Linked DNA regions of Pelodiscus sinensis. The protein of the gene in region 1 interacts with the protein of each later gene in a pairwise test. Links are inferred from orthologs where the notes say so. Each region holds a gene or a part of one and is shown on either strand. Other genes may lie near its edges. The genes, in order: TXLNA, DTNB, HYPK and BTF3L4.

What was found.
Region 2: the proteins of TXLNA (region 1) and DTNB interact in binary tests that used the Homo sapiens proteins (3 or more experiments, as listed by UniProt). The two-hybrid records come from large-scale screens. The link is inferred for Pelodiscus sinensis from reciprocal best matches to the Homo sapiens genes TXLNA and DTNB.
Region 3: the proteins of TXLNA (region 1) and HYPK interact in binary tests that used the Homo sapiens proteins (3 or more experiments, as listed by UniProt). The two-hybrid records come from large-scale screens. The link is inferred for Pelodiscus sinensis from reciprocal best matches to the Homo sapiens genes TXLNA and HYPK.
Region 4: the proteins of TXLNA (region 1) and BTF3L4 interact in binary tests that used the Homo sapiens proteins (3 or more experiments, as listed by UniProt). The two-hybrid records come from large-scale screens. The link is inferred for Pelodiscus sinensis from reciprocal best matches to the Homo sapiens genes TXLNA and BTF3L4.

Annotation. Positions count from the first base shown.
Region 1 is NC_134735.1:3,556,544-3,564,043, forward strand, and holds the start of TXLNA (alpha-taxilin), read left to right. Parts: upstream 1-4,500; 5' UTR 4,501-4,660; intron 4,661-7,215; 5' UTR 7,216-7,243; coding exon 7,244-7,463; intron 7,464-7,500. UniProt on the Homo sapiens protein: May be involved in intracellular vesicle traffic and potentially in calcium-dependent exocytosis in neuroendocrine cells.
Region 2 is NC_134713.1:429,498-436,917, reverse strand, and holds the start of DTNB (dystrobrevin beta), read right to left. Parts: upstream 3,018-7,420; 5' UTR 2,864-3,017; intron 1,374-2,863; exon of another isoform or gene 1,291-1,373; intron 1-1,290.
Region 3 is NW_027466027.1:114,087-120,683, forward strand, and holds HYPK (huntingtin-interacting protein K), read left to right. Parts: upstream 1-4,054; 5' UTR 4,055-4,146; coding exon 4,147-4,332; intron 4,333-4,648; coding exon 4,649-4,704; intron 4,705-5,476; coding exon 5,477-5,528; intron 5,529-5,801; coding exon 5,802-5,897; 3' UTR 5,898-6,077; downstream 6,078-6,597. Other genes in the region: SERINC4 (serine incorporator 4), read right to left, coding at 1,530-1,556. UniProt on the Homo sapiens protein: Component of several N-terminal acetyltransferase complexes. Inhibits the N-terminal acetylation activity of the N-terminal acetyltransferase NAA10-NAA15 complex (also called the NatA complex).
Region 4 is NC_134719.1:9,174,645-9,182,242, reverse strand, and holds the start of BTF3L4 (transcription factor BTF3 homolog 4), read right to left. Parts: upstream 3,006-7,598; 5' UTR 2,862-3,005; intron 1,289-2,861; 5' UTR 1,281-1,288; coding exon 1,227-1,280; intron 349-1,226; coding exon 235-348; intron 1-234. Other genes in the region: TXNDC12 (thioredoxin domain-containing protein 12 precursor), read left to right, coding at 4,211-4,307.

The DNA.
Region 1 (7,500 bases):
ACCTGGATTCCTGCTTGCCATTTCACTGTGTAATACATGGGAGGATAAATGAAAGGTACACTCTTTAATTTTTTTTACCAGCACAGGTCTATGCAAACTCCAAAACTAAATGAAATATGTCTTAAATATAAGATCTGGCCTTCTGGGACTAGTGTAATGAGAAGGGATATGTGTAGCTAGAGGTCTGACTAGTGAACTGGATAAAAGACTATTAGAGTGAATAGTATTTTGTAAATTTTCCTCATCTTCTCTGGATCCCTCCTTGGAACAATCCAGGAACCTTAAGAACTTAAGGGGTTTTTAAAGGAAACTTATAGGCCTTAGGACTGGCAATTAAAAGGCTTATTCTGCTGCAGTAACTGTTTTAAGCACTAACTCATATGAAACAAACCTTTGGTGTGGAACTGGTACTATGTCCTTAACACCCCACCGCTTTAATCAGTTCATGGTTGGGTTGTTATGCAGCCACTAGTGAGCATGGCACAAATGGGAGGAACAGTATACAGCTGTTTATCCAGTTCAAATCTGGGAACAGGAGTTCAGGCTATAGTCCCATCAACAGCCAAGAGTGATTCAACCTACTTTAAAAAAAGAAACCCAAACATTTCTTTCATAAAAGCTGAACAATCCTGGCTATTTCTCCAATGTGTGGCCCTTTGGAGGTACATTATAGCTGTACCTGGGTTGGTAGGCCTTGTGAGGATACACACTTGCTTTTAGTGTGATGTGTACAGATAAAAGATATCTATACACATTGACTTGAAAATGTATCTAAGTTGCCAACACTGTAATAGATACAAGATGCAAAATAAAAAGTCTGTTCCAAAGCTGACCTAGGTGCTCAAATCTGTCTGGATTATTTTTAGTGTCAATTGGGTGATCCTAGCAGCAGCATTGAAATATACCAGCAGGGTGCTCACATATGAACAGAACATCCCAGTGCTAAAGCATGTACACCGGCAGCCCTGCATGGACGCAATTTATATCCACATTGCAAAAATGAGCTGCAGATATTTGCAAGGTTCTAGATACAAAACTTGTTTTCATATTGTGCTACAGCCATGAATGTGAATAGCTGTGGTTATACAGTGGATATCCATGGATTTGCTGGGCTCTTACACCCAATATATTGGTAAATATAATAAATTGGTAAACTGGTTTGGAAACATGAATAAGGAAAAGTTATTCCTACAATAGAAGAACTAGGGGGCATCAAATTAATAGGTTTAAAACAAATGGAAGTTTTTCCTTCTCTCACCGTACAGTCAACGTGTGGAACTACTTGCCAGAGGATGCGGTGATGACCAGGACTTTAACAGTGTCCCAAAAAGATACATTCATGGAGGTTAGGTCCATCAATGGCTATTAGCCAGGATGGGTAAGAATATCCCCTAGCCTCTGTTTCTCTAGAGGTAGGTGACAGGAGAGAGATCACCTGTTGTGATTCCTCCCTCTGGGGCAGATGGTATTGGCCACTGTCAGCAGACACACTATTCTGTTCATAAATGCATAGCTAAATGCTAGGAAAACTCTCCAAAAGCTTTGATGGTGGATTGCTTGGAAATGTGTAAATTCAACATGGGGGAAAGACCACTTTGCTGGGCAAGCACAATTTGAACTGTGCCAGCCCAGGCCTCATCTACTGCTATATGGGATCATTCTATTATGCCCATTTCACTCTTTCCTCCAGAGGAGAAAAATGTACTAATCGAAGCGGTCTTCAAATTCTACGTTGTCCTTTTCACTCAGCTGGGACTGCAGATGCAGCTAAAGGTCTAAGCGCTCCTAGCTGTAAATCAGTGGTAGCAGGGCTAGTTTGAGGTTAAATGCTACTTTAACTAGCCTGTCTCCCATACTATTGTGTATGGCAGGTAGGCAGCACTGTGGAAAGGGAGAAAGAAGGTCCCTGTCAATATACCTACATTTTAAACTACTTAATTCATTCTCAGGGAGATTTAATTAGAACAGCACAATGCATATACTGTACTGTTGACCATACTGGAGACTACCCAGACCAGCAGTAATTAATCCATGAGTTAGCTGTAATTTGCTAAGTGCTGGGACTGCAGTTTTCTTTGAGCCCAGTAGAACTTCAGTAATGAACAGACAAATCAACCATATACTAGAGATGTGAATGTGTACCCAAGTACACAGTTAGGGCCAGGCTCATCAGTTAACTCTGCTGCCTACACACAGCTCCCCCTGCATGTTAACATGTAACCACTGAAAGTTACAGCAGTTACATATTTACACAAATGCATTTTAACATACCTACCATACACATCATTTGGAATTGGAAAGATACAATCAGGCAGCAGGGAGAGGAAGCAAATACATGTATTAAATGAACTACCAAAAAAAGTTTTAAAAAACATTGACAAGGAAACTACTTTCATTGAAAGACAGTCAAAATATTTTTCTTCTGGAAAGTGCAGTTTCAAAGCTGTATTAAGTTCAGTTGTAAACCTTTAAAAACAACCCTGTTTTGTTCAGACTTATGAACCTCCATTCCTGAGCTATTTGTAACTGTGAGTTTCTACTGTAGGGTATGATACACAACTTCCTCCAGACAAAATGTGACCCTCTATTATCCTCTTGTTTACTTTTGCTTGAGTAAGCAGTATGGTGCAGCCAGACCTGTTCCTTTGGTTTGTGGGGATCCAAGTGTGCAATTCAGCCTACTACTATTGCAGACTCAACCTGTAAAAGGTGAGGAATATGATTTCCACCATAACTAATGGTATAGTTCCCCATTTGTAGGAAAGGTGCAGCTATTCCCTAAACACCTTAACAGCCACTTGAGTAATTCAAACTTACTTTGTGAAGTAGCTAAGGCTATAAAAGGCCAAAGGAGTACGTCTGGGCTGTTTCCACTAGGCCAGTTTCTTGACTTGAGCCCTGGCCTTCTCTTGCTCCAGACTCAGACTGCCCCTCTAGTGGCTGTGCAGCTTAGGGAACTTGAATCTATATTGGGGTGTAGGTAAATTCTAAGGTGACAGGCTAGCCCCTGCTATCCTCCACCTACCTTGGACTAGCCCTCTTACTTGTGAAAAATGTCAACAAAAGAAAGCTACCACTGCTGCTCCCTAAAGTGGGTGGGGGTAGAGACTATGGTTCAAAGTCATGGCAATAGTTAGGCTAATGCATGTAGCTGTTGCTCCTCTCAGCTTTCTTTTCACCATCCCCAACCCTGGCTAGTGCCTCCCTGGCAGGAATGTAAAATCCCATTTAATCTGTTAACCAATTAAATGTTTGGTTAAACCAGTTAAGTGACTGAGTTGGATCCTGGGTGAGGGCCCACTTCAGCTGGGCTGGAGCAGCCCGTGGGGCTGCCAACTCTGCTGGCCTAGCCCATGACACAGTGGGCCTATGAGCCTGGAACAGCTGCCCACCTGCGAGCGGGAGGCTGCTCCTGGACACTGGTTAACTGTTAGCCAGTGGGCTTCAGCCTTATCGCGTATTGCCTATTTGGTAACCAGTTACCTGTTCACACCCTTACACTCTGCCCCTCTCCTCACAGCTCCCCCTGGAGATAGTAGCTCCCACCCCCGGGGCTAGTGCCTCCCTGGCCCCCCTCCTAACAGCTTCCCCCTCTCCCCCCCCCCCGGGCTAGTGCCTCCCTGGCCCCCCTCCTCACAGCTTCCCCCTCCCCCCTGGCTATTGCCTCCCTGCCCCCCTCTCCTCACAGCTCCCCCCCTGGGGCTAGTGCCTCCCTGGGCCCCCCTCCTCACAGCTTCCCCCTCCCCCCTGGCTATTGCCTCCCTGCCCCCCTCTCCTCACAGCTCTCCCCCCCCCCAGGGCTAGTGCCTCCCTGGCCCCCCTTACCCCCGGGCTAGTGCCTCCCTGCTCCCCTCACAGCTTCCGCCCCCCGCCAGGCTAGTGCCTCCCTGCCCCCCCCCCTCAAACCCTCCCCCCAGGGCTAGTGCCTCCCTGGCCCCCCTCCCCCCGGGCTAGTGCCTCCCTGCCCCCCTCTCCTCACAGCTTCCCCCCCCCCTGCCGGGCTAGTGCCTCCCTGCCCCCCCCTCAAACTCCCCCCCCGGGCTAGTGCCTCCCTGGCCCCCTCACAGCTTCCCCCCCCCCTGCCAGGCTAGTGCCTCCCTGCCCCCCTCTCCTCACAGCTTCCCCCCCCCTGCCGGGCTAGTGCCTCCCTGCCCCCCCCTCAAACTCCCCCCCCCCGGGCTAGTGCCTCCCTGCCCCCCTCTCCTCACAGCTTCCCCCCCCCCCCCTGCCGGGCTAGTGCCTCCCTGGCCCCCTCCTCACAGCTTCCCCCCCCCCGCGTTGCCCTTCTCGCGTTGCACGCCGGGAGCTGGATTGTCGCCCCCTGGCGCGTTGCACGCTGGGCCCTGTAGTCGCCCGGGCTGCCCGCCTCGACCGCCGCCGCTCAGCGGTATTTCCCGGCAGGCCCCGCGCCGCCCCGCTCGCGGATTGGTTGGCGGAGCCGGCGGATGACGGCGCATGCGCACTCTGTACCCGCTCAGCGGCCCGGGCTGGAGGCTGCTGCCGCTGGGCCCTTCGCAGAGCTCGGCGCTGAGGAGGAGCCGCGGGGAGCGGGGACCGCATGCAGGGGAGCTCGCCCCTCTGCCGGAGTGCGGCCGGCGGGCGCTACGGATTGGCGGAGGCGAGAGAGCCACGTCAAGCTTCTCGGCGGTGACGTCACGCGGTACGTGAGTGACGTCACTGCAGTGGGGGGAGGGGCATAGGGGTGTGAATGGGGGAGGTGGAGGGGCAGGAGGGAGCGGGACGGGGTGTGAATTGGGGCAGGGCAGCATAGGGGTGTGAATGGGGCCGGGGAGGGAGCAGCATAGGGGTGTGAATGGGGCCGGGGAGGGAGCAGCATAGGGGTGTGACTTGGGGCAGAGGCAGCACAGGGTGTGAATTGGGGAAGGGCAGCATAGGGGTGTGAATGGGGCCGGGGAGGGAGCAGCATAGGGGTGTGAATTGGGGCAGAGGCAGCATAGGGGTGTGAATTGGGGCAGGGGGAGAAGGGAGCGGCATGGGGTGTGAATTGGGGCAGGGGAGCAACATGGGTGTGAACGAGGCTGGGAGGGCAGGGGATGTATGAATGTGAATGAGGCAGTTGGGGGTGTGACTGGGTAGTGTCAGATGGTATTGTACGGCTGGGTGCTGTGGGAGTGCAGGTGAGGGCAGGGAAATGTGGGGAATCATGGGTACCTAGCAGCTTAGGAGATAGATAGGGACAATCGTGCACAGCTCTGTGGGGACTGGCACTTGCAGAGGATGCAGAGGCAGTGGAGCCTGTGGAGTTGGGTGGAGCACAAGAGCACACATTGGGCAGTGTAGGGATGTGTACAATTCATGGGATGCCACAGGGAGATGGAGCATTCATAGGGATGAGCTGACAAAGGGGCTGTACGCAATGTGGGAAATCAGTGCTGCTAAGCCTGTATGTGAGAGAGAGGTACATATTAGGGGTGTAAATTCTAGATTAATCAGTTAACTGATTAAATGGTAGGTTAACCTAATGTTTAACCGGTTATCTGACTAAGCAGGATCCTGGGCTAGGGGCTGCCAGATGCAGGGGAGGCCACAGGTTACGGGGGGAGGGGGCTGCTCCCAGGTAACTGGTTACCCACTCACATTCCTAGTACATTTTGGTGTCTGTGTAAGAATAGTTGACATGCTTGCCTTGGCCCCCGTTACTTTTAACTTCCGTCCCTGGCTTCATAAAGCTGATTGTGCCCTGAGTTGCTCTCTGAGAAGAAGCATAGACTTAATTGTGTGTAGCTATGCTCAAATTTGGGACAAAATGTTTCTTTCATCAAATAATTCTGTGGGGGATCCAGATTGTCCTGGGACAGCTACGCTGCCTTTGTTTCATAATTGTGAGTGTCTCTGAAATGGGATAGAAATGTAGCCGTGTTAGTCTGGTGTAGCTGAAACAAAATACAGGACTATATAGCACTTTAAAGACTAACAAGATGGTTTATTAGATGATGAGCTTTCGTGGGCCAGACCCACGTCCTCAGATCAAATAGTGGAAGAAAATAGTCACAACCATATATACCAAAGGATACAATCAAAAAAATGAACCCATATGAAAAGGACAAATCACATTTCAGAACAGAGGGGGGATGCGGGGGGGGGGGGGGGGAAAGGAAGGTAAATGCCTGTGAGTTAATGATTTGTCCTTTTCATATGGGTTCATTTTTTTTAAATTGTATCCTTTGGTATATATGGTTGTGACTATTTTCTTCCACTATTTGATCTGAGGAAGTGGGTCTGGCCCACGAACGCTCATCATCTAATAAACCATCTTGTTAGTCTTTAAAGTGCTACATAGTCCTGTATTTTGTTTCTGAAATGGGAGACTGCAGAGTTGCTGCAGCATTTGCTTTTCCTGTTATCTGAGTGGTGAATGAGGGATATGGGTAAAATAATGAAAGAGAGTATATTTCTGGAAGGGTGTGAAATGGAAAGAAGCTGGAATTTGGCCTGTGTGTGTCAGTTCTGTTTCATGGAGATAATTGGTAAATCTTTTTGTTGCTGACTACCAGCTCTTCCTAGAAACTACATGCTTTCCCTCTTAGCCTGGTGTTTTAAGAGAAGCTGGCCCTTCTCCTATCTTGAGGATCCTGAGTCAAGATTTTGGCTTCTGTCCATCCCTCCCAGGCTAGGAGAGTCTGTGTGCTTAGTAAAAGCAATGCATTCAACACTAGAGAGGGAAGTTCTCGTGTCAGTCTGCAGGGGCCCTTCTAGGCTAATGCTGGACTCCATTTCCTGGTGTTTTATGGAATGAAATGTTCTGAGAGCAAAGCATTAAGTGAAGGGTGGAGTGGTGGGTCCATCAGAAGACTGTAATCTACAGAATACAGAGGTGACAGAGCCATTTACTCTATGTGGGTTTGGGAGTTACTGGCTTGGCTCCAAAGGAAGCTGTCTCTAGCCACCCTGGAGGAACAGCTATCCTGACATGGAGCCCTTTATGGTGAGGGGGATAGCTTACAGATGTGGGAGGAAGGGTGCGTTTACTTTCCAACAACAGAATGGAGTTAACAAAGCTTCTATTGAGTACGAGGCAGCATCTGAGTCTTACGACTAGCCGTGGATGGAGAGGCTCAATGAAGAACCTTGTTCTCTCAGTTGTGAATGTTTCAATCCCTGTTGATTTCACCTAGCAATGAGTATGTTGTAGGATGCTGACTTCTGCTAAAATCCTGTTACAACTAAACCCAGGTGACGTTTCTCTTTCACCAGGGTTTGAGACGGAGTGGGAAGAAGAGACATGATGAAGGACCAAGGTGGGGAAGACAAAGCTGCCCTGCTGCCTGCTGGTCTTCCCAAAATGAACAGCAATCTGGTGCTAGACGAAGGCGACTTAGCTGAGGCTGCAGCACCCCCTGAAGCTGGGGAACCCCCAAGCCAGTCCAGGACTTGCAGCTCTGAGCCATCTGCTGATGGCAATGCTGAGAGCCTGACTAGTGAGGTGCAGGATAAAGATGAGGGTATGTTTCAGCGTTGAGCTTGAAGGGCCATGCCTGC
Region 2 (7,420 bases), on another chromosome or scaffold:
CAGCAGCCTCACCAGCTCCCCAGCCCACTGTGAGCTCTGCTGCCTCCCTGCCCTGCCAGCTCTGGCATCCCTGCCAATTACCCAGTCTTGCCAGCTGCGGACTCTGGTGCCCTATGGGCTACACTACCCCAATCAGCCAGCTCTGGTCCAAGCTGCCAGTAACCTCTGTTCTGAGGCTCTCTAGCCCAGCAACATCTGTGGTCCAGCCGAACCAGAGAGTCCCAGATCACAAAGGTTCAACCTGTGTAATGAAAGGCTAAGATATGGCGTCAATGTAAAATAAAAACATAAATGAAAATCAAAATAAATAAGTGCTTTTTTATACTGATGAGAAGGAAGGAAATATGAACTCTTACCGACGGTTATAATCAAGGCCTGATTTACAATGAGATACATTAGAGAGACAAAATGAAGACAACAGAATTATATATTGGCACACCTGAATTATGTGGCCTTTGCCACACCCAAAACAAATTTCAGATAAAATTTGCTCTTCTCTACTGGATTACTGCAAAGCAAGTAATTTTTTGAATATGTACATTTCAGAGTACACACACAGCTACAAATGTATAATTTTCTGTCCAACATCCTGAAAGACTGTATACTATAGTAGCAGACACTAAAACCATACCATGTTTGCATAACATCTTGCCACTTGTTTTGTTCATTAATGAAAATATACTTCTCACATTGTACTTGGTTTTTAATGTAAGCAAGATATAATGAGTAAAGATTTCAAAAGAGCGCTAGGACAGATTAAATTATATCAAACATCTATAAATTTTCAAAGTGATGTTCTGAGTATTAGAATAGTAGTTTATTAATAGAGTTGATGTGACAGATCTATTTGGAGTTATGAAATGAGTTGATTGTGAGGTGTTACAGGCTTATGCAAAGATTGAATGTTTCTTTTTTTAGTTAAACTAACAATTAACAGGCAAAACAAACAACCAATGGTCTGGTAGCACTTTATAGACTAACAAAAAATATAGATGGCTGTGCCCACGAAACCTCATGATACCAGCTATACGTTTTGTTAGTCTATAAAGTGTCTATAAAGTCTATAAAGTTAGTCTACCAGACCATTTGTTGTTTTCTAAGTTTATCCTGTACAGACTAACTCGGCTACCCCCAAGTATAAAGGATGTAAGAAGTTAGCTAAAACAGTAACTCTTTAACCACTGAAAATCTTAGCAGCTACAAGCACTGTGGGCTCTGTCTTGCTCTATTCAATATGTTTCTTATTTAAGCTTTTAGGGGGCTGCACCTTTGCTCGCTACGCTCGCTTACCCGCTTTCACTTTGCTGAGAAAGCCCATTGATGCAGGTAACGTGATGACATCATTCTGTCGCCCAGCAGAAACATTCTGTCATCTGGCAGGAAAAAACTTTTTTATATAGAGAGATACTGCAGAGCCCACAACAAAGCCTCCCTGGGAGTTGGGCTTCCAGCCCCTGCCACCTCCACTCCCAGGGACACGGATGCCACAGTGAAGCTGCCTCCCTGGAAGCCAGGTGAGTTTAATAGATAGCATTAACTGATAAGCAAGGTTTGGTCCTGGTGTGATAAAAATTCTATTGACTACTTGATTACTAAAATAACCTAATTTTAGCATCCCTAACCTAAACTGCTCTTGCTGCAGATCAACGTCATTACTTCTTGCCCTACTTTCATTGGATAGGGATGATAACTGATCACTGTTCTCTTCCTAACAGTCCTTAATCCATTTGAAAATTATTACAATGCATCCCCTCAGTTCTCTTTTCTGAAGATAAAGCATGCAGAGTTTGTAAAATCTTATTTCCTAACACGTGACGTGCAGAACAGGACTCTGTACTACAGTGGAGGCACAACGAGTAGAGCAAGACAGTTAACTTCAGTGATGGACATACTACACTTGTAATCGTGAAAAAGTTGGGGAGTACTAATATATCATATTGCAGACTCATTCAACTGCTGATCCACTGTAATCCCTAGTTCCTTTTCAGCAGTATCACCATCTGTGGCCCAACTTCCCTATATCTGGGCTCTGATGTTGCCGGACCAGAGAGTCTCAGTTAAGGGAGGTACAACCGTTATTTTTCACAAGTTGATCTCTCACTTAGATGTACTTTGTATATTTACTGTGTGTTTGTCAAAAATAACATCAAATGTAAGTTACAAAAAGCTGGTTAAATAATGTAATGTATGTATCGGTTCAAGTACAGAGTCCTGTGTTCAATACCGCACAATATTAAATCAATCGTGATTACCTAGATTACACGAAAACTCTCTGGGGCAATTTCTACTTTTGACCCTAATTTCTTTTTGAATCTTTAAAAAAGTTACCTACAAAAAAAAGGGGGGGAGGGGGAATTTGCTGTTTATTTCTTTATCCTGTATAAAAGCGACCTGAGCTTTTTTTCCCCCTGTTTGCTTTTCACAGTCGGAGTCTCAGAAATGTCACAACCTAGTTTCGTTTCCGCTCTTTGCAATGGCCTCTCACAGGCGCGCTGGTGTCTAACGGGGGGGGGGGGGGGGGCTCTCCGAAAGCACCTCGGTAACAGCACTGCCGCTCCAGCGCCAATACCTGCTCACACCGGGGCACACGGCCGAGGAGCCCGCGCCCCGCGGGACACACGGGGCAGCCCACCCCCGTAGGGCCCGCTTGGCCGCTGCCGAGCACCCGCAGCAGGGACACAAAGGCGGGGAGGCGCGCGCGCTGGCGGAGCGGGGCCCGCAGCGAGCTCCCTGCCCCGAGGCGCGCCCGGGCGGAAGACCGGCAGCGGCGGCCGAGGAGAAGGGCTCGGCCCCGGGAGCCCGGCGAGCGACCCCGCACGGCGCTGGGAGAGCAGCCCCGCCCCGCCCCGCCCGGCGCACTCACTTGTCCGGGGGCGAGGCCGCTCCTGGGGAAGGCGGCGGCAGGCGGCGGCCCCGGCTCCGCTCCCGGCTCCCGAGCGCCTCCGCGCCGGCCTCGCGAGGCCTTCTCCGACCAATCCGAGGCGGCCTCCGCGCGCGCGCTCAAACCGCCCCGCGAGCCCCTCCCCCGGCCGCCTCGCGGAAGCGGTTTCGGACGAGCGAGCGCTTCAGCCAATCGGCAAACGGCTCTGTCCGGCGACTCGCGCCGCGCCCTCGCGCTTCTGCCGCCAATCAGCGAGTGCCGCTCCGCGCCGCGCCCTCGCGCTTCTGCCGCCAATCAGCGAGCGCCGCTCCGCGCCGCGCCCCCTCCCTCCGCCAACGGGCCGCTGCCTGCAGCCCCGAGCGCGCGCGCGTCGCCTCAGGTGCGCGGCCGAGCCTCCCTGGGCCCGCGGCTCCCGCCCCCCCCGCCCCGCCCCGCAGTGGAGCGGCCCGCGCTCCCCTCAGGCTCGCAACTCAGCCAGGGCACGGACGGGCTGGATGGGGCACAGGTAACGGGGGGGGGCTGGATGGGGCACAGATAGCGGGGGTGGGGCACGGGGGGGTATGGGGGGGGGTGGGGGGGTGGCGGGATGGATGGAGGCAGTTTAGGGGACAGACAACAGGTCCAGCGGAGGGCAACCAAAATGATTCGGGGTCTGGAGCACATGACCTACGAGGAGAGGCTGAGGGACTTGGGGCTGTTTAGTCTGCAGAAGCGAAGAGTGAGGGGGGATTTGAGAGCAGCCTTCAACTTCCTGAAGGGAGGTTCCAAAGAGGATGGAGAAAGGCTGTTCTCAGTAGTGACGGGTGGCAGAACAAGGAGCAATGGTCTCAAGTTGTGGTGGGAGAGGTCCAGGTTGGATATTAGGAAAAACTCTTTCCCTAGGAGGGTGGTGAAGCACTGGAATGGGTTATCTAGGGAAGTAGTGGAGTCTCCATCCCTAGAGGTGTTTAAGTGTCGGCTTGACAAACCCCTGGCCGGGTTGATTTAGTTGGGATTGGTCCTGCCTAGAGCAGGGGGCTGGACTTGCTGACCTGAGATCTCTTCTGGCTCTAGGATTATATGAACGGACAGGTGTAGGGGGGATAAAGGAGGTGTATGGGGACGGATGGATAAATAGCAGGGAGATAGATGGAGGTGTGGGGCAATGAATAGATCGAGGGGGTGTATGGGGATGGACGGATCGAGAGGGTGTGGGATGCATGGCAATGGATGGATAGCTAGAGGAGGTGTGGGGGGATAGATACATAGGGTGTGTATGAATGGACAGATAGATGCCAGTCCCATGATTTTTGAGCACTTACAGTTTGCTGTACTCTGGTTAGGCGTTGGCAGAGTTCTCTGTCAATATGCCTCAAAGCCCCTCTAATCACATGATCTCCGGCCTGGACAGGGCACCAGCAGAGGCAAGGAAGGAACATTCCCAGGAAGCAGCAACCTGAGGCAGAACCGTAAATACAGGAATGTTGGAGCATGACGACTCAATTGAGCCACAAATTCAGCAATGATAGTAAATTAGTAGAAGAGCCTTTTTTCCCCCCTTGTCTGGGCTAGAGATCATCATTATCAGTCAGTGAAGCGGACTCTTCAGCATCACCAGCTATTACTCCAGAGCAACAGCTTTACTATGGTTAATTGACAGCCACTATTTAAAATACTACTATTCTTAGCTCTACAATCCATATGGTGACCAACAGCACCTTGACATTTGTTATGCTTCACAGAGATGAAGGATAGGCTTAGTGGTTAATTTGGGGGACACTTGAGCCAGGATTTCCCAAGATACAGGGCTCCTCATCTCCTCTCCATCAGCCATTAACAAAATCGCCTGTTTCTTGTAACCTAATTTACCTGTACTTTGTGTTCAAAGTATTGGTCTGATCATCCGCACATTGGCATGTTAGAATTTACCTCAGATAGAAGACAGTACACACTATCGCTTTGGAGAAGCAATATTGGAAAAAGCTTAGGAGAATACGCCTACCTTTTTAAATGATCCCATTTTAAAAAAGAGCTACACTGAAGAAGTCTCAGAGTCTAGTAAACCATGTAATCTCCACCTTCTGAAGAGGCCAGTTGGGCATTATAGCCATACTAAGGGGAAGCAATTTAGCAGAGCATGCACTATGATTCCGAATAACTGGACAATCTAATGTCATATTTTGGTGTCTCAGGCAGACAACATTTGGTTTGCATACACATCTTGGAGTAGTTATCACTTTTTTTTGTTTCTAAATTTGACTCCTACCTAAAACATCTTACAGCCAGCACAATTTCCATTTCAGAATTAAAAATCTTGCTGTCCACAAATGTAATACATAGCACTTATTTGGTTTTTTTAAGAATCATATCTATTTAACAAAATATAGAGAGTCAGGTGATATCAAATAGAATTATTGAAAACAAAGGGTTACATATAAAACAACAAGAATCGGGACTTAATTCAAAAGCTATTCTCTTCTTAAGTTTACCTCACCCTTGGCAATCCCAGATATATCAGAGCAGTCCTTTGATCTTTATTAATAAACCATGCATCCTGCTGCTGTGTATTTTTTTCTTGACTTCAAAGTCTCATCAGTGTCTCTGCCTTGCTTAGCTGGTAACTTAGTATAGTGAGAAACAGACATGAGGCATGTCACTTTTGTGACCTGCCTTTAACCTTCAAGGCTTTAAAACATAAGTTCCAGTAGGGATACATTGCTTTTAAAATACTGTTGTTTCATACATTTCACAATAATGGTGATGACCACTGGCTATTGGCTCTCAGTAAAGACCTTATATGTCACCCTTTGGTGAACTATTCTATAGCTATTGGACTCAGGATTCCTGTCTGACATATGTGCATTTTATGTCTTCAGCCTGTTGGTGCCATGGGCTGCCTAGGTCATACCCTCTGAAGTCAAGGTATGGTAAGCCATGTGACAAGGTGGCATGCAGAGTTCCCTGGTATAACAGTGAGGACAGAAACTCAATTTACAATATCTCTTGAAGGGAATAAGATCCTTACTTATCCATGAAGTTATAATCCTGGGCTCTGAAAAATCCAAACATGCACCCTGCGAGTACTAGGGATGTAAAATCCCAGTTAATTAGTTAACCAGTTAAATGTTAGACATTTAACTGGTTAAATGACTAAAAGTGGGATCTGGGCTATAGACTGCATCAGCCCAGCTGGAGCAGCCCTGACCTTGTGGGGCTTCTGCACCCAACCCCACAATGGGGCTGCTGCCAGCTCCCAGGCTCCACTGGAGTAGGCCCTGCCTGTGGGGCACCTGGGCTACCCAATGACAGAGGCTGCTTTGAATGACAGCAGTTCCTGTCTGCAGAGGGGCTTCCTGCAGGGCTGGAGCAGCCCCCTGCCCTTGGCTGCAGCCAACACCTGTTATTGGTTAACTGGAACTGGTAAGTATCATCCATTTAGAGTAACAGAATCCCAAAGCTGGAAGAGACCTCAAGAGGTCATTGAGTCCAGCCCCCTGCCCAAAGCAGGACCAACCCTAAGTAAATCATCCCAGCCAGGACTTTGTCAAGCTGGCACTTAAAAACCTCTAGGGATGGAGATTCCACCCCCTGCCTAAGTAACCCATTCCAGTGCTTCATCACCCTCCTAGTGAAACAGTGTTTCCTAACTTCCAACCTAGACTTCTTCCACTGTAACTTGAGACCATTGCTCCTTGTTCTGCCATTTGTCACTACCGAGAACAGCCTTTCTCCATTCTCTTCGGAAGTTCCCTGCAGGAAGTTGAAGGCTGCTATCAAATCCCCCCTCACTCTTCTGCAGACTAAACAAGCCCAAATCCCTCAGCGTCTCCTCCTAGGGTTTCCCTCCACTGGACTTTCTCCAATGTGTCCACATCCTTTCTGTAACGAGGGGAGCAGGGGGGAGAACTGGATGCAATACTCCAGATGTGGCCTCCCCTGTGACAAATAAAGGGGAATAATCACTTCCCTGGGTCTGCTGGCAATGCTCCTCCTAATGCACCTCAATATGCAATTCGCCTTCTTGGCTACAAGGGCACACGGTCTCCATCTTCTCATCCACTGTAATCCCCAGGACTTTTTCTGCTGAACTGCTACTTAGCCAGTCGGTCCCCAGCCTGTAAAAATGCTTGGGATTCTTCCATTCCAAGTGCAGGACTCTGCATTTGTCCTTGTTGACCCTCATCACATTTCTTTTGGCCCAATCCTCCAATTTGTCTAGGTTACTCTGGACCCTATACCTATCCTCCAATTTATCTACCTCTCCCCCTTAGCATTATCCACAAACTTGCTGAGAGTGCAATCCATCCCCTCTTCCAGGTCATTAATAAAGATGTTGAACAAAACCAGCCCTAAAACCAGTCCTTGGGGCACTCCTCTTGAAACCAACCGCCAACCAGACATCAAGCTGTTGATCACTTCCCATTGGGCCCAACAATCTAGCCAGCTTTCTATCCACCTTACAGTCCATTATCCAATCCATACTTCCTTAACTTGCAGGCAAGAATATTGTGGGAGACTGTATCAAAAGCTGTGCTAAAGTCAAGATACATCACATCCCCT
Region 3 (6,597 bases), on another chromosome or scaffold:
CAAAACAGGGAGGGTGTGGTGCGGGTGTGGCGGGGAGGGTGTGGGTAGTAAAACAAAAAAACCGCCATGTAGCACTTTATAGGCTGACAAGATGGTTTATTAGGTGATGAGCTTTCGTGGGGCAGACCCATGAAAATTCCCCATATTTCGTAGGGAATATGATCTGAGGAAGTGGGTCTGCCCCATGAAAGCTCATCACCTAATAAACCATCTTGTCAGCCTATAAAGTGCTACATGGCGGTTTTTTTGTTTTACTACCCACACCCTCCCCGCCACACCCACACCCTCCCTGCCAAACCTGTGCCACACCCATGCCCTCCCTGCCACACCCACACCCTCCCTGCCACACCTGTGCCCTCCCTGCCACACCTGCTTCGCACCCTCCCTGCCATACCTGCTCCCTCCCTGCCACACCCACACCACAGCCGCCCCTTCCCCGCCACACCTGTGTCGACTCCGTGACACCGGTGCCCTCCCCTCTGCACCCACACCCATACCCTCTGTACCACACCTTCCCCATCACACCTGCACACCCTCCCCACCACACTGGTGCCACACTACGCCCTCCCCGCTGCGCTGTCCCTGCCACACCCGCCCCGTTACAAGCTTCTGAAACCTGGCACACGTTAGCAGTCCCCTCAGGAAGCAGGGCGTAAAATCCGCTTTAGTGAGCAAACTGGTTCCATGTTACGTTTAACCAGCTAACTGATTAAAGGGCGGCAGGTGGCTGGAGCGCCCCCCCCACCACGAATTGCTGGGGGAGCCCCTGCTCCAGCCCCACGTTATCTGGCTCCGTGGAGGGGAGGCTTGCCAGTGACATGCTTAAGCAGGCACAGCCCCGCGGGAACGGACGCCCCCCCTGCCCCGGCGCGCCTGCAGCGGGAGGAAGCAGGACGGTGCTTGTGGGGTGCAGCCGCAGAGGCAGTGGCTGGGGGGACGGCTGTCCAGCACACGTCCCTAGCTAGGCCTTGCCTGGGCCCCGCTTGGGCGGAGGGACAAGGCGGGGCCAGGAGCCGGACAGAGAAACCACCCAGACACGTGCGGCTGGCAGGCCAGGGAACTTCAGTGGAGGGAGCCACCGAGCATCAGAGAGCAGGAGGGGGAACGAGTGTGTCCAATCTGTCGTGACCAGAGGGGGGCTCTTCCCACGGGCAGCCGGGGCCGGTCCAGTGTCCGGCAGGCACCAGGAGCCTGCCACCCTGGCTACTGAGAGCATCCCCACGGCAGACACTGCCCCGTAGCCCTGAGCCCCACAGCCAGGCCAGCTCGGGAGCGGAGCAGGGGGCCCGGGCCAGCCCTGGGATGGGACAAACTCGGCTGCCCTGGGGCCAGCACGGAGACCTGAGGTTTGAGCAGACCAGGAGGCTTTGCCCTGCTCAGTGGTGCCTCTCCCATGGCATCCAGGCCAGCTCCCGGCTGTTGCAGCCGCTGCCCCGCGCCCCGGCGGCGATCCGGGGCTCAGGGACGAGACCTGGAGCTGCCACAGGGCGATCGCAGTGGCTCCCGCGAGAGGCCTCGCTCTGGCTCACCTGTGCCTTCCAGCAGCTGGCCACCATCCCGCTGCAGGCCTGACGTCTCTGGCTCCCCCGTGGCGATGCCGGATGTGCTGCACCAGCCTCCTGGTCATCAGACGGGGGATGCCGGGGCCTGAGGGTTCTGCCAGCCCCTCCCTGGAGATGCCCCCACAGCTCCCTGCTCCTGAAAAGCTATCTCAAGTGGAAGCCAATTAGGCAGAGGGCTCTGATTGGCTGAATCTTGGTACTAGACCCACCCCCATGCATGATCTCCGGGCGACTCTTGTCTTTCATCGAGTGATTACACTGGGCACTAAATCAGTCCCCTTAACCCTCTTACCCCGCAGACGCAGGGATTAGCGATCCCTGGAGAGAAGCTGGGCACACGCCAGGCAGGCAGCGCGATGGCGGAAGCACCTCCAGAGCCCGCAGTGAGAGCAGAGCCTCCTCTGGCCGCCGTGTCTGTGCCTGGCCGAGCCCCTGGGACCAGGAGACAGACACAGCCCAGCCACCAGCTGGCGAGGCGGGTCCCGCCTAGCACTCGACCGATGGCTCTCTGAGCCCAGGGCCAGCAGCTGCTAAGAGTCGTCTTCACCGTGCCCGCTCCCCACTCCCCACTCCCTGTGCCTGCGGCGCCCGGCCCACACGGCCAAGGCCTGCTCGGGTCCCGGCCGCGTCAGAGGGGCGAACCTGCTTGGCATGGAAGGACACTATGGAGCGTCTCTCAGGAGTCACCGGGCTCTGGGCACGGTGCGGCTGCCCCATTGCAGACAGGCGCTAGCAGGAGAGGGGAACTTGCCCTCTGAACACAGGCCGAGGAGACTGGGCGGGCTCTAGGGAGGGGAGGCCGACAGGAAGGGCGATAAGAGTCTAAAGTGGGGGAGGCTCTCGTAACACAGCAAGGAAGGGGCCCGACGACACCGAGAGGTGGGCAGACTTCACCCGAGCCAGGAACTCCTGGCCACAGGGAATCAGCGTGGCCTGGGCCTCTCTGTGGCCAGCCAGGATATTCAGTGGCCTGGTGCAAGTGAACTCGGGCGGGGCGGGGCATGTGCTGCTCTGGGGCTTAGGCCGGTCTCCGCCATTAGGGATCCGACTGGGCCTGTGCATGGGCCGACTCTGCAGCTGCCGCCTGCAATCTGTGGCTGGGTGCTACATGGTGGCGGCGCGGGGCAGCCACAAGGGTGCTGTGCGCAAGAAAGCCCCTCCCACCAGCCCGAGCTCTGGAAGGGCAAAGAATCGCAGCAGACAGGAGGGTTCTCATCTCTAAGAAGCAGAAACAGAGACCCCCCGGCCCTAAAGGAAGTCCAGTGCGGACAGATTCTACAGCTGTTACCTCTTGGAATTAGAGACTGCACCCTTGGGTGTGTGCGTGGCCTACCTGAGCCTGTAAACAGCACGTTTCATTTCATAGTTCATAACTCCTTCCCTAGCAGAGCGCAGGGCCGGCTACCCGCGCTGCCTTTGCTGCGAGATCTGAGCACAGTGACCTGGGAGAGGAGGTGGGACTCTTGGGATTGGGAACTACCTGAATACTTGGGGATTGGGGGAACTGACCGTTCAGAACACAGGCGGGCTGCTGTGCCCAGGGGACTCTCTGGTAAGACTCTGTAGGGTGAACATTTCTGAGGCAGGCTGATATTCTGTTAAGAGCCCAATCTAAATTCAGACTCTGGGAATGGCACATGAACACAGTACATGGTTATTCCCCTTCCCCACCAGTCCAGCCCATCAACGGAAAGCCATCCCCCAGGATGGGAGGCAGGACAAGACACATTCAATGGTGCTAATGTCTCTGCTTTAATCCCCAGATGGACCGCATCCCGCAGAGATCCCTTCTTGGAGCTGACAGACATAGCACCACTTCACTGATAACTGATGTCCAGACTAACAGGCTACATCTCTATTGCTTTGTTTAAATACTTCTTGTACTGGAAACACGAGATAACTTTCTATTACTGTTCTTATCTTGCCTTACTGTTAGCATCTATCTGGGGGGGTCTGGGATCCCCCCCCCCCCCGGCACCACTTTGATCTGCCTATTGAGCATCCTATATAACTAGCTGTGACCTATTGTTCAGCAGTGTGCACTGAGCCCTGGCTCTGAATAGTCCTGGAGCCTGGACACCATATAACTCGCTGCCCATGCACCGAGGTACTCGGAGTGCCAGAACTGCACTAGAGCAAGCACTCTGGGAGGGAAGCCCTCCCCCGCACCCGCCTCCCCCCCTCCCTCGCCTCCCCTCCCCCCCCGCCTCCCCTCCCAGAGCCCTTCCCCCTCCCCCCCTCCCCCCCGCCTCCCCTCCCAGAGCCCTTCCCCCTCCCCCCCCGCACCCGCCTCCCCCCCTCCCTCGCCTCCCCTCCCAGAGCCCTTCCCCCTCCCCCCCCGCCTCCCCTCCCAGGACCCCGCCCCGCCCCCTCTCCAAGAGGCTGAGGCGGGGGGAGGAGGGGCCGCCGCGCTCACGACACTTGCCCGCGGGGTTTGTGCCGGGCCTACAAAAAGGGGGCGGGGCGGGGGGCGGGGCCGGCGATTCCCCTCCCGGACGCTCTGGGCTCACAGGCGCGTCTCGCTGGTTCCGGCGCCGCGCGCGGCCAGGTCCCGTGACCGGAAGCGGAAGCGGGGCCGGGCGCGATGGCGGCGGAGGGCGACGTGGAGCTGGAGCTGGAGACGGAGCCGAACGGGGCCGGGGGCGGCGCGGAGGGCGCGGGGGGGCGCGCGGCCGAGAAGCCCCGGAAGCACGACAGCGGCGCGGCCGACCTGGAGCGCGTCACCGACTACGCGGAGGAGAAGGAGATTCAGAGCTCCAACCTGGAGACGGTGCGGGGCGGGGCCGGGGACAGGGGGCGGGGCCTGGACAAGGGGCGGGGCCGGAACAGGGGGCGGGGCTTGGACAGGGGCGGGGCCGGAACAGGGGCGGGGCTTGGACAGGGGCGGAACAGGGGGCGAGGCCGGAACAAGGGGCGGGGCTTGGACAGGGGCGGGGCCGAGCGGGGGGCGGGGCTTGGACAGGGGCGGGGCCGGCACGGGCGGGGGCCCTGCGGGATGTTCTGGGCTCCTCCATCAAGGGTCCAGCTGTGCCTGGCTGTGCCTTCCTGAGCCGTGGCTCCCCCCCCCTTTCCCTCTTCTCCCCCAGGCCATGTCCGTGATTGGAGACCGCCGATCCCGAGAGCAGAAGGCAAGGCAAGAGAGGTAACCGCTCCCTGCACCTCTCCTGTAGAACTTAGAGAATCCTAGAACCACAGAGCTGCAGGAGACCTCAGAAGGTCAAGTCCAGCCCCCTGCTCTAGGCAGGACCAATCCCACCTAAATCAACCCGGCCAGGGCTTTGTCAAGCCGAGACTTAAACACCTCTAGGGTTGGAGACTCCACTATGTCCCTAGGGAACCCATTCCAGTGCTTCACCACCCTCTTAGGGAAATAGTTTTTCCTAATATCCAACCTGGACCTCTCCCACCTCAACTTGAGCCCATTGCTCCTTGTTCTACCATCCGTCACTACTGAGAACAGCCTCTCTCCATCCTCTTTGGAACCTCCCTTCAGGAAGTTGCAGGCTGCTATCCAATCCCCCCTCACTCTTTGCTTCTGCAGACTAAACAGACCCAAGTCCCTCAGCCTCGCCTCATAGGTCATGTGATCCAGCTCCCTAATCATTTTGGTTGCCCTCTCCAATGTGTCCACATCCTTTTTGTAATGGGTCAGCAGCCCACACCCCTGTCCTAAGCCATTTGGTCCGGTACTATGTGGCTTGGTTCTGCACATGCAGAATCTTCCTCTAAAGGCTCTGGGTAGTTTTTCTAGTTAAACTTTCTGCTTATCCATGGCCAGTCTCAATAACAGTGGCTTTGTCTCAGCAAAGAGCTACTGCAAGTGCTCTGGTTGTATTTGACAGTTGTGACTGAGCTGCTCTGCAAAGGGGAGTCTGTAAGATTGGTACTTTATCTTCTGATTCCTTTTGTCACAGGGAAAAAGAACTGGCAAAGGTTACAATCAAGAAGGAAGATTTGGAGCTGATTGTGAGTATGGCAGGAAGTGGTGCCAAGAGCGAGGCTGGGGCAGGCCAAGCCCAGATCTCAGTCAAGTTATTTACTCAGTCTCGGGGGCTCAGAATACGTGCACTGCAGCCGGAGGACAAAGGGCTGTAAAAAGTCACTTGTGTTCCTGGCGCACTGCAGTGCAGCAGAGACAGCAAATGTGTACGCTTGGTGCCAGCTTCAGTGATGCTGCAGCAGCAAGCCTTGAGCGAGGCCTGTGGTGCAGCATCTCTTCCCTTGGCTCCCTCCCTGCAGATGAACGAGATGGAGATCTCGCGGGCAGCAGCAGAGCGCAGTCTGCGGGAGCATATGGGGAACGTGGTGGAGGCTCTGATCACCCTCACCAACTAAGCACATTCCTACGGGACTGCTTGGTGCTTTGGGGAGAGAACGAGGAAAACTCTTGCTGGGACTTCAAAGTCTTTGTGCTGCCAGCCCTGTCCTGAGCACAGCCTTCGTGATAGTGGTGGGACAGCCAGATTGGTCAATGCTATGTGTTAACTTATTGAAATAAAGAGCGCGCTAATCTTCTGTGGGCAGAGTGTATAAAACAAGGCTCAACAGGCGCTGAGCTCCGTGCAAGAGCATGCAACAACTCCACCAGTTGTAGCAAGCTTGGGTCAGTCCACGGTGCACTGGTGTGCGAGCTATGGGCACTGTGTCACGAGACAAACCCCTTCAGAAGACAATGGCTGAGCTTTCAGAAAGGGAGAGCAGAGGTATCTCTTCCCACCCCTGCTGAATGGTTCTTGAGAAACTTTGTTCCCTTCCTCCCTTCCAGCGCTCTGTCTTGCTCCCAGGCTTAGGTTGAGCTAGCTTGCTAGCGCTTAAGCTGAGCCCCACTGTCTTCAGTCTCACATGGTATTGGCAGATCTTAATCCACAGGGGTGCTCTGTATATTTACACTGTGCTATGTCCTGAGTTAGCGGAAGGGGAGGTTCTGCCTTCTGCTGAGTTCCCTACTAGTGCTTCAAGGCCTCAGCAGCCCAGAGCCGCCTGCTTCGTCAGGCCCCGGGGGAGCGGCTGGTTTCAAAACAAGGTGGCAGGGTGC
Region 4 (7,598 bases), on another chromosome or scaffold:
AGTAGGGATGTAAGCCACCAGTCAACTATCCAATAAGCATGCATTTCAACATGCATTTTAACATTTCTAGTGTATATTCTGCTATCCTTTACACTAATTATGTAAATCAAGACTAGTTTCACTGAAGTCCGGGAGATCAGACCCAACTTTTCTTAGCACTTCAGCATCTAGCCAGATGTCAATTTATTTTTAAAATGAACAATATTGACAGGGCAAATAATTATACCACTATACCTCTTCAATGCCAGCAATATTGTTTACTGCTAACTTTTTGAGTGAACTCTGAAGTTTTTTATCATCAGCTGTTGCTGTCCTGTGCACCACCTTCTTCTTTCTGCGAGCAGTACCCTGAAAATCAGACAATGAAAGAAACATTAGTCAGCAACTCTGAAGATCTGACACTGCAGTCACATGTACTAATATCAACTAGTTTCAACAAAAGGGAGTTGCTGAGTGCTGCACTTTTATTGTCAAAGCCACTCTGATAATTATCAGGCCTGGGCTGACAACCAGGCTCACTTTTTTAAGGTTCAAAAGCAAACAAAACAGAGATGAACAATTCTCTCCCAAAAGATACACTATTCCACAAATTTTAAATCACATGATGCTCCTCCATCTCTTATCCTCTCTACAGTACACAAAAGTTTTATGGCCCAAAGTTCTTTTCAGGTTATGATTTTTTAAAATTTTGTTTAGTAGTCTTTACCTGGAAATGTTGGTTTCAGGATTTTTTTTAAAAAACTAAGTCAATGGGTATTATATTGAACATCTTGATATGAATTTAAAAGTTACACTGGCTTATTTAAAATACAAAAGTATTTTACTACAAGTTCTCAATAAGAGGAAATAGGTACACTTTCCTTCTTTCTCTTCCTTATTTTCCAAAAGTTATTTTAAGAAAGGCACAAAATACATTCTGCCAAAAAGACAATTAATCAAGTAATTTAAATTTAAGCAAATCTTACAAATATGGAAAAATGTATTATTCATATTTCACGCTACAAGCTTCTACAAACAACCTTCCACACTTAAGAACTAAACTTGTGCATGTAAATGGTTAAATCAACATATAAATTTTCCATATATTGGCAACCAACTGTTTTGGATTAAAAAAAAAAAAAGTGCTATGATCCTGATCATAACATATTATTTCAGACCTCTAAAATATACAATGAAAACAAGACATGGTAGGTGCCTCTATAAATTTGATGTTGTTTTCCTCTTACCTTTCCTCCTATTCGGACCTGAGCTTGAAGCTTAGCTAGTTTTTCTTGATTCATGATGCTGTCTGAAAAATAAGTATATCAATCATATTAGCCTAATGTTAAATTACAAGTTTATTACACAAATAAGCTCAATTTTGTGTGACACTGCTTTTATTTTTTAATAAAAATGGTCATGCTCTTTACATCAATATCATAAGTAACAAGCAAAAAAATTTGCTAACAAGAACAAAAGATAAGCCATATATATAAGCTGTATCATCTAAATGATATAGCACACAAAAGCAAATATGTTTAAATTTCATGTCAATTTAAGTTACAGTTAGCATATCCTAATTTTAATACTTGTTTACCATCCCATCAGTCTGTGTCTCCCTAACCCCTCTAACAGGTGAATGACAAGCAACTCAATTTACTTTCCAAAACAGCATGCATTTCACAGCAGCAATATCTCAAACTACTGCACTTCATTACAGTAAAAGTGGCAAGGTGACATTGGAAAAGGAAGTCTTCCATAAACTACTTGAAAAGCTTTCATTGCCATTTCCATGATTAATCTCAAACAGCTGTATAATAGCTCACTACATTTTTGAATGCATAAGTTTTATCATACAGTCTATGTAAATACCACTGTCTCAATATCCTTCACGGACTACAGAGCTACATACAATATTCAACTCATCCATTATGAAGTTAAAAAGCGTGCCCACTGTATAAGAAGACGTGATTACTGGCTTTCCTTAAAACCAAAACCAACATGACCAAGAAGCAGCATGCAACACTTTCTGTTTACAGTTCTTTTAGGAGGCATTTAGCTGCTCTGCCCCAGGAAAGCATTAATTTCACTGTTTGGCAGAGAGACACCCCCCCCCCCTCCACAACTTCCATACTTGGCAATAAAAGGAAGGTGCTAGGCTCGGGTGGTGGTGGTGCTATTATGAGAAGAGAGCGCAGAGCCTCCTAATGCATTAACAAGAGTTCCCATGTGGATGCATCTTGAAACTAGGGCTGGATTTTGTGGGGCAGCCCCTACAAAGGTGGGAGAAAGGAGGTTCATTTTTTTACAGGAGAAAATTCCCCATCGTTTTCAGCAGGAGGAGGAACATAAGAGAGACCCCCCCACAATATTGCCCCGGATACCTGAAGCGACGGGGCGTACGCCCCTGAAAAGGGGGAGGGACAAAATCCAGCCCCGGGGAGCTAGAAAAGTGGTCGGAGCCCAAAGGGAGAGGCCCCCCCTTCCCCCCACCATACCCAGCCCGCGCGAGGTGGGAAGCGATTATCGCTCGCTCTTCCCCCATCCCAGCCCCGGGCAGGGGGCCCTGCCAACAGCCAACCCCGCCGCCCCCGGGGTCTACGGTCGGGGAGACGGCCCCTCCCCCATCTCCAGCGCTAAGGGAGGGAAAGGTCCCTGCCCCGGGGCGCCCCCCATCGCCAGCCCTGAGGGGAGGGGGCGAGGCTCCGCCGAACAAGCCGAGCAGCCTTCAGGCAGCGGGCAGGCCCATGCCCCTCAGGGCACCGGCCGCCCCTCCCGCCGACCGAGGCGCGCGAAGCCGCGTAGCGGGGGGGGGCGGCTAATCCGGGGGGGGGGCTAAAGAACAACGGGAGGGGGGGGGAAGGACAACAGAAAGTTCTCACCTGAGTCCGGCAAACCCTCCGCAGCCAACACGCGGTGAGAACAAGATGGCGGCCGCCCCAAGCAGGGAAAGAGAGGGGCACAGAGAAAGGAGGCCGCGGACCACGGGACTGTGAGCCCCGCCCACTCCCCCTCCGATTGGAAGGGACACGGAGCTATTTGCATAACATGGAAAGTTGAAATCGGCTCCTTCCTCTTCCCTTTCGTTTCGGCACGCCCAATCCGCAGAGAGAAACTACAAGTCCCAGCATGCCAGGCGCATAGGAGGACTCTTGAGTCCCGTCGAGGTAGAGCATTCTGGGAATTGTAGTCTCCCTAGGAGCGGAGGTGGTTTTTGGGCCCCGCCTTAGTACCATCCGTGCCCTTCCTTACTGCTCTCGTCTAGGCAGGAGGAGGATTTCTGCAGCGCAGTGCGTGCTTCCTCTGGGATTTTGGATTTCTTTGGGGTGGTTTTTTTTTTGCAAAAAATAAAAGCCGTGGTATTTGCAATGGGACAGCGCCGAGGACTGCAACGGGTAAAGTGAAAGCAGGGTCGTAAAGCCATGTAGCATTTCCTCCGAAGAGTCCAGGGGCTAATTACCCAAAATTAGCATGTTGGGATACTTCTTAAGGGGTCAAAGGCTGGCTGATCAAGATTTTTACATTGAGACATTTTAAGAGCCAGGAGTTTTAAATGGAATAATTCCAAAGATTGTAAAAATATAACTTAAGATCTGCATCATTCCAGCTTTTACTTTCTCAGTTTGCAAACAGGTAGGTGCGAATATAGAGAACCCTGAAGATTACTTTGAGCATAGTGATGTATGAACACTCCACCCCATGCTCACCGGGACTGAAGAGCAACCAATCAATGTGGACCCGCTCTCAGTCAGTCCTCCAGGACGTACGTGCACCGGATTAGTTAAACATTAAATCATTCCGGTAATAACAATTACTGCTTTAGCCAAATTCTGGACTTGTTATTACTACCCCTCGCGAGGGGCTGGTGCAGTAGAACCAATTTGTGTCCGTGACTCGGTTGAGCTCCTCCTTTCAAGTCCAGATGAATGTAAATGTCCCCCTTCCCTGGCAATATCTCGTTAAGAAAGTAGACAGTTTGGAAACAAATATGCAGGACTGTACCCATAGATCCAAAATATTTTAGCAAGTCTCTCATTCAGATTTTGGAGGATCTGTTCCTTTTATTTAACCTACCTGAAACGGGACTCTGAAGAACCACCCACATCCGCCCAACATCACTTCCTGGGTTAAAAAAAAACCCCACAACCCAAACCCCTAAGCTATCTGTTCTGATCTTGCTGACAGTGGCCATCGAGAAATAATCGTACTGCCGAGGATCCAAGCGGACACCATGAAGATTCAATTAGCAGCAGCGCTCTCCAGTTTCTCTCTTTGTCTGATTTTCCTGGTGCTTACCACATCCTCTGCTGGAGAAGGGCTTGGAAAGGGTTAGGCATCTCTTTTCTTTTTGTTTGTATTTAAACTTTATAATTGCTATAAATAAGTAAATAAATCCCTAATCAGGAGGATCCTTCCCTGCCTCCTACTACTGCATTTAATATTTGCAATAATGCAGTCAAGTAGTAATAGTGCTTATTGTTATAAGCTTCATAGTAGGTATGATCAGGAGATGATGGCTTTACTGGTAGAATTGAAGCTGAAACATACAAGATATTATGGTGCTGGGCTCTAAATTGAGCAATTGCAGTGGAAAATGCATTAATGTTGTGGGAGTGAAGAGGAGGGGGTTTTATAGTTTTATTCTTTGTCGGAACTCTATTTTTGATACTCCATGTCTCTATGGCCACTTCCAATTTCATTTTCATTCATAAAATGTCTTGTTGGTTCTGAGTCAGTTTTAAGGACATTTAAAAATTCTTTCTTTGGTGCTGAAGCATTTTGTAAGGGGTCTTTCAATTAATTTCAAGTATAATTTTAATTTCCCTTTCCGATGGTCTCATTTTGGCATCCCTGGAATAATGCAATATAAAAGCAGGGCCCTACCAAATTCACAATTTTTGTCAATTTAATAGTAATAGGATTTTTAAAATGGTATATTCCATCATTTCAGCTATTTAAATCTGAAATGTCACCATGCTGTTGGGCTACTTCTACAATGCAGGCTTCTTGCGCAAGAACTGCCTTGCGCAAGAGCATGTCTACACTGCCATAAGCTTTTGCGCAAGAGCTGCGCTTTTGCACAAGAGCGTCCATGGCAGTGTGGACGCCCTCTTGCGCAAGAAAACGCCATTTTAGCCAAAGGGGTTTCTTGCGCAAGAAACCCTTGCCCGTCCACACTGCCTTCTTGCGCAAGAGCTCTTGCGCAAGAGGGCTTATTCCTCATGGGGAGAGGAATAACTCTTGCGCAAGAAGCCCTCTGTTCCAAAGCTTTACTGTAAATTTACTTGCGCAAGAACTCACGTGCAGTACAGACGGTCCGCAAGTTTTTGCGCAATAATGGCTGTTATTGCGCAAAAATCCTGCAGTGTAGACGTAGCCTTGCTGTAGGGGTCCTGACCCCCAAAAAAGTTTTTTGGGGTGGGAGGGTTGCAGTACTGCTTTCCTTACTTCTGCAGTGCTGCTGGTGTTGGCACTGCTTTCAGAGCTGGGCACTTGAAGAGCAGCAGCTGCTGGCTAGGAACCCTACTCTGAAGGCAGAGCCACTGCCAATAGCAGCACAGAAACAAGGATGGCATATTACGGCATTGCCACCCTTACTTCTGCACTGCTGCACGTGGGGTGCTTATATTCATTGTTTGTTCTTACCATGAGGCAATCCTGTCTGTGTGCGTGTCAGCTCTTTGACTGCCGCAGTTTCTGGCAGTGCTGTCCTGGAGGCTCCGCAGGCCTCACATTTTCTTTGCAAGTTAGGGATAGTCATACCCTGTCCCCCAAATCCTCTCAATATTCCCAGTAATGTTCAGCTGCTTATTCACTGAGCTCTTGGAATTACCAGGCCTATTTACACCTTAGAATGCAGTTCTACTGAATGCTCATCCGTTAGATATATGTATAGTGAAAACAAGAGTACGTTTATTATCCAAGAACAGAGATTCAAGTGATTGAATATTAATATTGGAAACAAATGATTACATATCAAAAAATGTTTTGTAGACACTAAGCCTAACTAGCAAGCTACCTTACAGTTTCAAGATTATCTCACCTAATATTCTCTCCGGTGTATTCAACCCAGCCTTTCTGAGATTTTTTCCTAAAACAAAGTCATTTATTTCCTTGGTGAAGAATGCCAGGTTGTGCTTTGTCCCCCAAATATACCACAGGAAACTTTTGATATTGACCTGCCAATAAGCTTCACCTCTTCCCTCCACTATTTATCTCTTCCTATTGTTTCCCTCTCTTTGAAGATATCACAGTCCTTCAGCATTTGGTTCAGACTGGAAAGTGGAGACCCATTTTGAAGCATAGAATACTTAACATAAGAATAACTGTACTGGGTCAGACCAATGATCTGTCTAATCCAGTGTCCTGTCTTCCAACAGTGACCAATGCCAGGTGCTTCAGAGGAAATGAATGGAATAGGAAATCATCTATGATCCATTTTCATGGATCTATTCTCCATCCAGACCTAAATGTACACAAAAAGAAATATTTCTTGCCTGAAAAATACCAGTTTTTCACTCTTGCTGGTGATCAGACGTAGACCTTAAGAACATAATTTTCAGTGTATGTCCATAACTCCTTACACAACATTCATACGTGTGCTTTTATATTCATAACAGGTGTTACACAGATTTTTATTAGAGACCTCACATGACACACTCTGGTGAACTCAAATACAAATACCAGAGTAGGGTATTCCTGTAACCCTTATGCCTTTTGTCAGTTGACATTGAGAGGTCTTTGGGTTACACAAATTATAGCAGAACATAATATGCTGATGATTACACATAAATCATACTAATTCATCAAAGTGTTTTGTGCAAGGAAACTAGGTGACGATTTCAAGAGATTATGGAACCTTTTATTTGTAGATTACTACTTTACATCTGGCCAAAGTTGGTTATCCAAAAGCGTTTACTGTCTAATGGTTAAGAATGTAGGAATGGACACACTGTGTCAGACCAAAAGTTCATGTAGCCCAGTAACCTGGCCTCCTACAGTGACCAATGTTAAATGCTTCAAAAGGAATGAACTGGACAGGTGATCATCAAATGATTCATCTCCTGTCACTCATTCCTAGTTTCTGCCCCATTGGCTTCATTGCCCATCCTGGCTAACAGCAAGTGTTTATTAATTTAATTAATTTATTTCTTTTTAAAACCCTGATATAGTCTTAGACTTCAGAACATACTTTGGTAAGAAGTTCCACAGGTTGACTGTGCACTCTGTGAAGAAATACTTCCTTTTGTTTGTTTTAAAGCTGCTGCCTATTTCATTTGGTGACCCGGAGGTCTTGTGTTATAAGGAGGAGTAAATAACACTTTATCTACTTTCTCTATACCAGTTAAGATTTTATAGGCCTCTGTCATATCCCACCTTAGTTGTCTCTTTTCCAAGTTGCAGCCTTAATAATCTCTCCTCATATGGAAGCGGTTCCATACACCTAATATTTGTTGCCCTTTTCTGAACCTTTTCCTATTTCAATATTTGGTAGCTTAAGTGAAATAGGATAGTGGGGTAGTTCATAGTGAACAGAAATTGGTAAGCAGAATAAACTTCAGAGTTTAATATGATGTCTCTGAACAGTTAGCAGATATTCACAGATGAGAGCAATGTAA